Drosophila melanogaster: one gene and its partner. Changing the gene in region 1 together with any one later gene gives a genetic interaction. Each region holds a gene or a part of one and is shown on either strand. Other genes may lie near its edges.

Region 1 (4,793 bases):
CCACTTATTAAATATTCTTTGAATTAATACATAATTATTTGATCAATAATTGGCAACATTAACCGCAAAATTTTTCTCAGTACAACAATGAGAGAGCCCAGAGAAAGCAGCTGTAGAGGTGGAATCAACAAATGAGCGTGAGCCCCATTCCCCAAAAACAAAAAGAGCGGCAGAGAGCACACGCGGGGGAGTGTATGTTTGTATGCTTGTGCACACACACATACACCGTATTTGCTTGTAAATCAAAACACGCAGCCAAAGGTGAAACATGAAAAATGTGCGCGCCAATAAATGTGCGAAAGGTGTCGTGGTGTGGGTGCCGCATGGATTGGTGTTGGGATGGATGGATAGAGATGGTCGGATGGATATCTGTATCTCTGTGGGCCATGAGCATTGGGCATTGAATATTGAGAGCCGACTTGGCAGCTCGCAATTTTGATGTCCAATTTGCCACGAAACATGAACTAAATACTTGTACGCGAATGTTTGTTTGCGTGTGTGGGCATCTGGTTTCGTGGTGTTTATGCTGTGTGTTGGTGGTGGTGGTAAAAGGTAACGAAACACAAGGTAAAATAAATTCAACTCAGCTGGCAGCTGCAGCCTCTCAAAACGCACTGTAAATAAAGGTGTAAATACAGCTAGCTGGTAGCAACAATGCAAACTAATAATTCGGCCACCGAAGCAAATAGAAATCACACCTACAGTGATCGCTCGCTAAGCGAAGCATTGTAGTGCTCATGTTTTAGAAAATAGATTATCTTGGAGAAGAAGAACAAATAAACAAATGACTTTTTTCGATTTTACAATAGGAATTATGTAAACAAGGATATTTTAATTTAAACCCGTTGAAAATGTCCCATCAAATGATCTTAAAATTTGTATTTGTGAGTAGACCCATCCGAATTCAAATGTGCAATGATTCTGTGAGGCGTGATCGACGAGATGCGGACGCAGTGGAGCGTGAAAATGCATTCGGATGAGCATCGGTTGGCCCGCATCGCATATTCATTCCCATTCAAGATCTCGCATTAGCTTACGGCTCAGTTGGTCGACTTTTGAAAGGCGAATTTTAATATGCGCAATTACTCATTTGGCGATTTTGCGCCTCAATGTTGTTTGGCGCGTAGTTTCCCACACACAAACACACAGGCATCGACACTAGCCGATTTGGAATTTGCCTTTTTGATGGCAAATAAAAAAATGGCGTCAACAAATACTCAAACAGCCAATGTACAAGTACATATATTTATTTTGTAATTATTCAACAGCTTCTAGGCAGCGAACGGCAGCGGCAATCGATTTAGCTCCTGCTGCTGCTGAGATCGTTTTTCATTTTATTGTATAATTTATTAAAAGTTTCAACAGCGCCAGCAACAAAACAAACAGCAATTTTAGTTATACAAACACTTTGGCCATGTGAGCCCAATAGAGAGAGAGAGAGAGAGAGAAAGAGACGGTGAGAGCGAGAGAGTGATTTGATTTAGAATGAGGCGACAACAAAAGCAATTAACTGGTCACACATTAAGTTTTATTTATCGGCGATGCTTTATTATAGCTCGCCGCTGTGTGTGTGGGTGTGTTAGCGACTGTCATTTACCGTTCGTTTTACGGGTGGTAAATAATGGAAAACGTCGTAGATGGAAACTTGCAGTAAAATCCCCCTGGCTAACAGAAAACGAATAATATTGTTTCTTATAAGAATGAAATATTTGATGGATTAACTTCAGGAGTCATATGATTATATGATAATAGATGTACTTATTTTAAGCAAAAAATATTTCGCCTCCTCTTTAAACTGTTAGTATTAGATTAAAATAAAAATATTAACTAATGAATTCGTTGTTAAGAAAGTTGTTATTAAATCAACAGGTTTTCCAGAAACAAGACTTGCTTACTAGTACTACAAAATAGAACAAAACTAAATCAAAAATGCTACCATCTGCTGCTAGTCGCACTCAACGAGGTCCCACTGTAGACATAAATCGCAGCGTGGGCCATAAACTAACAGTATTTGTTGTGCAGCCTAATTTGCATTATCGAGTGAATAATTGAACGACACTTTCCTATTCTTTCTAGCTAAAAACAACAATCTAAACTACTGACTAGAGGTCTACAAAGGTTAGTGGGGACTTTATGAATATGAAATCGACGGGATGGGATATGATAATGTGATGTGGTGTGCAATGGTGTACAGTATCTCCGGGTGCATTCCAAATCAATATCTGGCATGCTTATATATGTGCGCAAATATCCATTGATATATATTCACGGCAGACTGACTCATCGGCAGCCGGCGACGCCTTTTATCGCGGCGATCTTATAATTACCTTGCTGTCGAGCGTGTATCCAGATGCAGATTGAGATTCGATACCGTTTCAGGGGTTGTTGTTACCATTTGGCATCCTTGGTGCACGAATATAATACGAAAACGAAAATAATCCACACTTGGGACAATTTCACAACAAAACGGGACAGAAACACACGCACTCAAAACACTAGTAAACACAAAATACAGGGGTGGAGATTGCGATTTTCGTTTTTATTTTCGTTCACTTATTTCTTGGTTTTTGCTTTGGCTCTCACATTCGCCGCTCTCTCACTCTGTCGCTCTGCGCTCACAAAACAAACGCACAGGTACACGCACACACGAACCGAAATGGCCCGCTCTCTTGCTATTTCGTTCTCTCTCTCGCGCCCGCGCGTTTCGTATATACATATGTTGCTACGTATGCGCGTGTGTGTGTGTGCGGGTGTCTGTATGTATGGGTTTTACGACGATGAAAAATGCCTGCTTCTTCTTCACAGAAATCAGGTTTTCTGCTCTCGATTTTCACACTTTTTTAACAATTGAACGCCACAAATTCGATGTAATTTCATTGGCAGACACTGCATACCATATTCACACACACTATTTAGCACAGTTTATCAATTATTTTCCACATTTTCTGCGTTTTTTCGACGAGCGAAATGGAAATAGCAAAGCAAAACGACCGGACAGTGTGACCGCGCCGATAACTATAAAAAATACTGTGAGACTTACAAATAAATTCATGTGTGTGCAGACCTGGTCACACCGATATTTTAGTAGGGTGTCTCTGCTCTGCGGGGTGTGTGTCTTGGTTAAATACGGAATGTGTCTCTGCTAGTTCAAAGACAAAAGCGTATTGCTACAAAACAGTATTTTTCAAAATTTAAAACCACTTTCGGTGTAACTGCTAATTTGTTTAATTTGTGGTAATTAAAATGTTTAGAATGGAGTGTACAAAACACATTAACCTTGAATTTTTGAATATCCAATATTATCACACTTTCCGTTCAATATAATTTTTAAGTACCCTTCGGTATCTTATTGGGAAAGAAGGAAAGAAAAGAAACCGCTTCGGTAAACAATTTAAAAAACAGGAGATTTTCCTAGTCCACATTCTAAGTGGCAAATATCAATCACCTCATTGGCAATTCCATTATGCCAGTATATGAAGTTCGGATTAGTTGCGATTTCATAATGAAGCCATAATGTGCGGACACACATAAACAACTTGTCAGCTGCGTCCACTTCGCATTTGGTTCTTTGCCAAAGTTATTAACCAATTTTTTGGGAAGACACCCAAAGGCTTTATGCATTCGCAAGGCGCGATGTAAACAAATAGATTTTGGTCAACGAATCGAACGTGTCCGCTCAATTAGCACATATTTGATTCACAATGTAAATCCAACTGTTGCCGGGCGAGAAGCGTAGGGCGGTAATTCGGTGGCTTAAATCGACGTCATTTCGACGACGTTTCACCGAAGTGAACAAAAAATTCGCAGGAAATTGAATCACTGAGCGCCTGTAAATTTCTTGTTCAGTGACAAAAAATGGTAACCCACATTCAGAAGATGTTATCTCACAAAAAGGCATTGCAATTAACCTTATTAGTATAGAAAGTTCACCAAGAAGGACGTGTTAATAGTTGTGGCCTGAATTTAGTAATTACTTATGTAAATAAAAATAATAAATAACTAAATATTATCAAAATAATATAATAAAATAAAAAAAGTAATAATAATGAAACTATAATCATAACAACCATTATTGCTAGTAAATGAAATAATTCAAATGAATGCTAATAATAGGTACTAAATCAATTTCCCTGGCATTCCTTCTATTAAACACGAAAACATAAACAAATTGATCAACTCCTTGTAACTTGGACTATCAGCTATTGGCAACACGGGCAGATCGAGCTTTGTTTTTGGCAGCTGACGCATTCCGCACCTCATGGTTAGTCGGTCCGTTTAGGTGCGCAGTGATAAGGGGTATCGATAACAATATATGTATATCTAACATGGATTACCTTGTACTGTGACAGTCATTCGGCGCTTATCTGGGCCGCAAACAACACGAATTCGTTGGCCTAATCATAATGAAAGTCTTGTTTTGACAGCAGCAGCAGAAGCAGCGGGCGTATAGCCACTATCACCGGATTTCCAAAAATAGTTCTTCAACTTTTACCGCAATCTGCAATGCAAACGATGACGTCCGCGTTGGTTGGAAAATTTCCAGCTCATCGCTGAAAAAGGGATTCCTCCACAGATCGTGGGCTTATCATGCATGCTAATTAATCCTATGACGAACTCGGGAAAAAAAAAACAATAAAACCTAATAGAAAACGCGAGGAGCTTGATAATCATTGTACTTGTGCACCTGTCGCCGTCATCCAGTTATCATTTAATAATCAAGATGAGTGCCAGAAAAACAGAGAGAGCTGCTTAAATGATTATCACAAGTTTGCGGGTACATACTTACATACATA
Region 2 (7,616 bases), 2.6 Mb from region 1:
AGTTTATCCCTTTAAAATAATTCTGCGTGTTAGCAGAGTGGTTCAATAGGAAAAATGTCAATCATACTTTATTTCTATTTATAAATAAAAAAGTTGAATAATAATTTCAATCGAAGAAGTTATTTTTGGAAATAGATTGCGGCAGTTAATTACAAGTTTTGTATTATTATAAGTAGAATTCTTGAAGTTTTTTTGGGGTTTACTTGATCAACTTTGTTATGTAAGCAGTTGGACTCTTCAACTAAATGCGTGATGTGAAAAATTAAAAATGAATGTTCTGATTTCACATAAGAAATAATATTATTCGTCTCCAGTCGCGATGACTTCTGACATTTTCTTAAGCCCCTGCTCAAATGTATTATTGTAATTGCTAAGTATGGATTTTTATGCGATTGTACATACATTTTGTTGTCAAACGGGTTGAGAGTTGTTCTCATCGCATCCTTTTTACGATTTGTTAACATTTCCTTGGCCTCGACTGCGTGCCTTTTGCTTTTCTTCCAATGGCAATTGCCATAAAATTCCCATAATTGTCCATTGCAGCGTAAAATTTGGCAACTGCCTTTGGAAGTGAGACAAGGAGGGGAATCTGTAGAAGAGCCAAAAGGGAGAAAGGATGTTGAGATAGGGGTGAAAAGAGACCCGGGGTTTCCTAACAATTGGGCTGTCATAATTTGCTGACTGAACTGGCGCACGCATGTATTTGTTTAACTAATTAGCATTAATTAGTCACTGCGCTTGACGACTCGTATAATTGGTCGCGATCCATGGTCTTTATGCAGTGAGTTTTTCTGTATGTTGCTGCTGTTGTGGTAATCGATAAAAAGCGCCAACAACAAGCCAACTAACTACACACAATGTGGTGCCATCTACCACGCCTCCCCGCCCCCATTCCATCGAAATCTCGGACATAGATGGCGCTGTGGTGCGCGCGTGTTAAGTATTCAAATCAGCCCCCAGAATCGGGCAGTAAGAGCGGGCGGTGAGTCTGAGAGCGTTTTTTGTTCGTTGAAGAGCGGATGCCTTCACACGTACACTGTGCGTGTGTGTTTCGCCCTCGATGACCCCCTGTGACTTGGAGCACCTGCTGAGCTCAGCGAATTCCAGAGCCAGTCCCAGTCGAAGTGCGATACCATCTTTACCTCATTGAAGGCGCTAGTTGAAACAGTGCTATTTCCCCCAGCAACATCCAAAACTCTCTTCGGCTCCCCCCACTTACACACGCACACTCGCTGACAGTCTGGGATCCACACAGACGCTGTATACAGTGTACGTGTGCATAACGCGCCACAAGAGAGCCGCACCAACTGCCATCAACATAACATCAACCACCACCACCATCAATCTGAGTGCTTGTGCAACATGCGCATGTCCGCGCTCTCTTCCAAGTCACACGGACGGGGAGGCACACACACACACACACACACACACACACACACACACACTGGAGCGGGCTGGCGCCGCTGCGCTTAGAGTTTGTGTTCGTGTGCTGGTTCTGGTTCTGGTCTTGGTCTTGTGTTGTCGGTGTGCCGTGCCAGCGATGTGGATATGTTGTCGCCGTGCGCGTTGCTGCCGTCAGTGTAGATTTGTGCTTCGCTCTGTTCGGTTGGAAGGCGCGCGGGCGTCCAGCAGCAACAACAGCAACTACAACAACAGCCGAGGCAAGCGGCCCTGCAACTTCGTCGAGGACTGGGACTTGAACGATTTCGTACTCGCCGTCCATTCACATTCACATTCGACTGGGAGTGTTTCGTTCGAACGGTTCGAAAAATACAAGTTGAACATTTTCGAAAAATTTAACTGAAAGAAGAAACGTTTTTGGAGTCGTATAAAAAATTAAATCAAAAAACAAAAAACACAATCAAAACATCGTGTCGCCGGCGTTGTGAGGAGAAATAATAACATTTTTGTTAACTGTTGCAAACATTGCCTTTAATTGTTTGTTTTGGTCGTAAAATCAAATTTTATGACCAGCAACATAAAAAGCGAACGCCAGCAGCAGCAACAACAACGACTGCAGGCCCCACAAATAATAAACTATTTATGATAATTATAAAAGAGAGAAGAAAATCAAAAACAAACGCCAACCGAAAAAAAAAGAAAAGTGAAAAGAAAACATTAACTGACAAAGGAAAAATTGGAAAAGTTTTGGAAAATTGGATTGACCGAATGAAAACTGAAAAAAGCCAATTTGAAAATACTGCGTGAGTTGCTGACGACCGCAAGCACCCTGTGAAATTCAAGCTGATTCGATCCCCTGTGCAACAACAAAGTTACTCTCTTCGCCCGCTCTTTAGGCAGTGTGCGTGTGTGAGTAAGTCGGCGTGTGCGTGTGACCGCTGACGGACGTTTGTGTGCGTGTGCGGTACGCAAATAAAAGGGGCAAAACTCGAGTAAAGGTGCTCTGAATATTAAAAATAAAAATTATTAAGTCGCGAAAAAAATATAAAGAGACTTAAACAATTAGAAAGGCGTCACTCAGAGGAGTGAGAAAAAAAAGACAGAGAAAGGTCGGTGGGTCGAGGCGATCGACCCCACTGCACCGCCTTTATCCTCGCCGCCGCAGTTCGAGTGCAACGCGTCCAAGATAACCGTAAATATTCCACCCCTCCCCCAAACCCCAACCATCCCGCTGGCGTGCGCTCTCTACGACCCCCACGATGTCTCGGCAGTCGGGTCGCACGCCGCTGCCGGGGCGTGGTGGGGGCATCACACACACACCCACACCCACGTACCCACCGCCCCGCACCCGCATCCGCATCCCCAGGCGCATCCCTCCCTGCCCGTCATGCAGCAGCACCATCTGCAGCAGCAGCAACAGCAGCAGCAGCAGCAGGAGCAGCAGCATCTGCAGGAGCAGCAGCAGCATCTGCAGCAACTGCATCACCATGCGCACCACCACCTGCCTCAGCCTCTCCACACCACCAGCCATCACCACAGCGCGCATCCCCACCTGCAGCAGCAGCAACAGCAGCAGCAACATGCAGTCGTCGCCTCCTCACCCTCCTCGGTGCTCCAGCAGCAGCAACAGCAGTCAACTCCCACCACACATTCCACGCCCACGCATGCGGTTATGTACGAGGATCCTCCGCCTGTGCCACTTGTCGCCGTACAGCAGCAACACCTCCCCGCTCCGCAGCAGCAGCAGCAACTTCAACAGCAGCAGCAACAGCAGCAACAACAGCTGGCGACAACACCGGTGGCCGGCGCCCTCAGTCCTGCCCAAACACCCACTGGACCCTCCGCCCAACAACAGCAACATCTCACATCGCCCCACCACCAGCAACTGCCGCAGCAACAAACCCCGAACAGTGTCGCCAGCGGCGCCTCCTCGAATCTCCAGCAGCAGCAGCAACAGCAGAATGCTGCAGTTGCTCCTGGCCAGACGCAGATCGTTGCGCCGACCACGGCGAGTGTTTCTCCCTCCAGTGTTAGTTCTCAGAAGGAAGGTGAGGTCCCAGAAATATAACTTTCCTTGGGGTTGAAAACCAGCGGATTTCTTATTGGAACTCCATTGGTTATGGGCTTTCAAAGATCGTTGGGAAATATATTTTTTGAAATTTTCTACATCTGAACTGGAAAACTCTCGAAATAAATTGGGGACGTTAAATTGGGAACGGGGTCGTTCCACTTGTTTTTTTTTCCCCCCAGTTGCAATAACGTTTCAGTTGTGCTGATTGCAGCACGTTTTTCAAGGCTGATAAGGCTTTTCTTTAACTCTCCCAGGAATCGTCACGCATTTAATTTATTTACTCAAAATATTTGCGTCTGTTTTATCATTATAGACTATATAATTGCAGGGTGGTAACAACTTTAATTTTGTAAGGAAATTAAAAATTTTTAAAAATATTGTTTGTGAGTGTACTGAAGTTCTTCAAAACTGCATTGGTTTTTTTTTAAAGAGTTTACACAAAAAAAAAAATTAAACGATGATTTGAAACGTAATCGTTATGGTAACCATTTTATTACCTTAAGTGTTGACACGTGTTAAATATACAGATTTATATATAGACGAGGTGTGAATGCACCCACATCCATGACATCGACAAACAATCTAAGGGTTATAGGCACAAATGCCACGCCAAGTGATAAAATGCCAAATGATCAAGGAGGTCGATTTGATCATAGACAGTCGTTAAAATTAGACTTACCAGCCCTAGTGCCAATATTAACAGCAGCAAATCTGCGCTTATCGTTTACTTTCAGACATCAATATGTCCATACAATTAGCGCCACTGCATATACCCGCCATCCGGGCCGGTCCGGGATTCGAGACGGACACCTCGGCGGCGGTCAAGCGGCACACGGCACACTGGGCCTACAACGACGAGGGATTCAATCAGCATTACGGCTCCGGGTACTACGACCGCAAGCACATGTTCGCCTATCCTTACCCAGAAACGCAGTTTCCGGTTGGTGTAAGTATGGCCACAGCGCCACCCACGCCTCCACATCAGTTGTAAGCAACTTCGTTCCAACCCGACCTCATTTCTCCCCCGCAGCAGTACTGGGGCCCCAACTACCGCCCCGATCAGACCACCTCTGCCGCAGCGGCGGCGGCCTACATGAACGAAGCGGAGCGCCACGTGAGCGCCGCCGCCCGACAGTCCGTCGAGGGCACATCGACGTCCAGCTATGAGCCGCCCACCTACTCCTCGCCAGGCGGCCTGCGCGGCTATCCCAGCGAGAACTACTCCAGCTCAGGTGAGTCCAGACCGGCCAGAGTCGGCACACTTAAGGGTAACGAGGTTAGGCACACTGGAAATAATTTTGAGCATCTTGCAACTCTAGTTTGGGAGGAGAAATTTTAAAGATTAAAAATTAAAAATTTACTGTTTACAATTCTTAAAATTTTTAATAAAATATTTGGTTATTCATATGAAATTAAATTAAAGTGAAAAATTATACGAATTCAAAATTCTGTTTAAAAAGAGGCGTTCAAATTCCACCTAAATGTTTTTAATTGTAAAATATATATTTATAGACCGTCAAATTTTCCAATGAATCGATAATTATTTGGAAGTGTTTTTTATATGGTGCTATTATTTTTTTTCCTAAAAGCCAAGCCAATTATTTAAACAGCCCTAAAATATTAAGCATCCTACAATATAAAGTTCAAGATTATTTGATTTTCCTATGTGCACTAGACTTTTCGTCGTCGTATCGGTTGAAATAGCAAATTGCGAAACCGTCAAGTTTGTCGTTCAATTAGCGTAGTGCAAAACGGCCCATAAATCGATACTCGCTATTTGGCTAGCGTTACGCCTTTATGTGGGTGCGAAAGTCATTGGGGTTTGCATTCTATGGGGTTGCCTGTTTATGTTCGTGTCTTATCACCAGGTGTTTTTCAACTGCCAGAATTGTATCTGTCGACTAGTCATATTTTCCCAGTAGTATCCATGGTATCCATAGTAAAGACTCGTTATTATGGCGGAATATGTCAGTTAAGTGACCTCGCCAGCCAATTTTACAATTGGAATTCAGGTCTCTTAGGCTCGATAATTAATTTCCAATCTGACCTAACTGTCCTAACTGTTCAATGCTACCAAGACTAATCGAAGAAATCAGATTAGATTCGAAAAGCTCTTCACTCGTGCTGAACTAGCGTTTAAATTAAAATAAATCCAACTTGTCACTTTATTTCAACATTAATTTAATTGCTTCATTTGGTCGGCCAATGAGCGGGAACGAATGTATTCATTTAGTGTTATCCACTCGAGTGTGAATATGGGCCTCATGCCAATTCGGAGCTCCGCTCCCCGTACCGCACCAATTAAGAGGCCATAAATGAGGAATTGAATAATTTCGTATTACGCTTATTGCTAAACAATTTCCGTAATTGCTCTATAAACTTAACGATCTGATATTGCACCGAACACCGAGCAACAAAACCATCGGACCACCCGCACTTGCGGTTTAATGAAGTTAACCATGTAGTTTAACCCCATTACTTGATGATGTTTTCAGGAGCCTCTGGTGGATTATCCGTGGGAGCAGTGGGTCCTTGCACGCCCAATCCCGGACTGCACGAGTGGACCGGTCAGGTGTCCGTCCGGAAAAAGCGCAAGCCGTACTCGAAGTTCCAGACCCTGGAGCTGGAGAAGGAGTTTCTTTTCAATGCGTATGTTTCCAAGCAAAAGCGCTGGGAATTGGCCAGAAATTTGCAGCTGACCGAGCGACAGGTGAGTCCATAAACCTACTGACTTGAACTGAATTCATTAAACAGGCGTTCCTTTCAGGTCAAGATATGGTTCCAGAATCGGCGCATGAAGAACAAGAAGAACTCACAGCGCCAGGCCAATCAGCAGAACAACAACAACAATTCGAGCAGCAACCACAACCACGCGCAGGCGACCCAGCAGCACCACAGCGGCCACCACCTGAACCTTAGCCTGAACATGGGTCACCATGCCGCCAAGATGCACCAGTGACCCTTGGACAACAGCAGCGCTGGCGCCATGGGCTTTGCCACCTACTAGCAGTTAGCCAATCCGAGTTCGGGTAACCCCAGCTCGAATCCCAACCCCATGTCCGATCCGAATCACCATCATCTAATCAAGAACGAGCTGGCCATGGACTTTCCATGCTAGTCCAGCGATTGGAAGGGCGATTCCAGCCAGGCCGAGTTCAGTCGGTTAAATGTACAAAAACCAGAGATCTCTAGCATGCGGGATAGGAATATGTGACCACAATGAGGAGCAAGGATGTGGATGAGCAACTGCCCAGAAGTGCGCAGGCGTCGCTGATGTGTGACCAACCGACGTTGATGCAAATGCAGTTTATTATTAAGTCAGTTCTACGGATCCCAGAGATCCAAGCCCCAACACGATAATGCAGCTTAGTTCGGTAGTTGAATATAGATACGAGTAAGATGAAGAGTAAGCAGCAGCAGTAGCAGATGCACTTGAAATTCGCAACTGTACGAAAATATATGTATGTACGTATTTCTCTCAACGCTCTCATTAGCCTAGGCGAGCACTATGAATTTTCCGAACTATAAATTATGAATATGAATATACTTAAACGTCAGTGAATATAACCCCGCATAAATTATGAATACACGCGTTCGAGTAGTAGATTTTACCATACCTATCCAATTAAGAGCGGCCACAAGGCGGCTGAGTTAGGCTGAGCAGCAGAACACATTTTAGACCCAGATAAATGTTCTTGAAACACAAATTGAAATTGTTTAACAATTTTCGGACCCCTCACAGCTCCGCAAACAAGAAGACACACTCCGCAGTCTAGGATAAATTTTGTCGTATAATGTTCGTCGTGTCGTGTCCTTTGATACCTTCTAAGTTCCTGTATATAAACTAAGACATTGCGCTGATTTCCGGCCGAAGCGAGCACTCGATAACTAAATTACATCAGATATATGTATATGTATATTGCGTACACGCAGAGATATTCAATATTTGTATAATATGAACTCGGATTCGATTTTAGCAAATGGTTAATTGTAAGTTGCAAAAATTTCAATGAGTGTGTGCATGTTTACCCCATAGTTGAAGTCGCTTTCGAATTAAATTAACTCTTAAACCAAGGAAAACACTTAACAAAACTACTCGTAAAGCTAAAGCAACAAAAACTTAAAAGATACACACTTAACAGAA

What was found. Genes that interact genetically often act in the same process or in processes that back each other up.
Region 2: of trx (region 1) and Abd-B, changing one suppresses a phenotype caused by changing the other (phenotypic suppression), as found in Drosophila melanogaster (one study listed by BioGRID).

What each region holds. Positions count from the first base shown.
Region 1 is NT_033777.3:14,283,882-14,288,674, forward strand, and holds the start of trx (trithorax), read right to left. Parts: upstream 3,023-4,793; 5' UTR 2,328-3,022; intron 1-2,327. UniProt on the Drosophila melanogaster protein: Histone methyltransferase that methylates 'Lys-4' of histone H3 (H3K4me). H3K4me represents a specific tag for epigenetic transcriptional activation.
Region 2 is NT_033777.3:16,928,204-16,935,819, reverse strand, and holds the start of Abd-B (abdominal B), read left to right. Parts: upstream 1-1,577; 5' UTR 1,578-2,788; coding exon 2,789-3,449; intron 3,450-4,206; coding exon 4,207-4,418; intron 4,419-4,502; coding exon 4,503-4,704; intron 4,705-5,967; coding exon 5,968-6,182; intron 6,183-6,239; coding exon 6,240-6,431; coding exon of another isoform or gene 6,432-6,590; 3' UTR 6,591-7,616. UniProt on the Drosophila melanogaster protein: Sequence-specific transcription factor which is part of a developmental regulatory system that provides cells with specific positional identities on the anterior-posterior axis.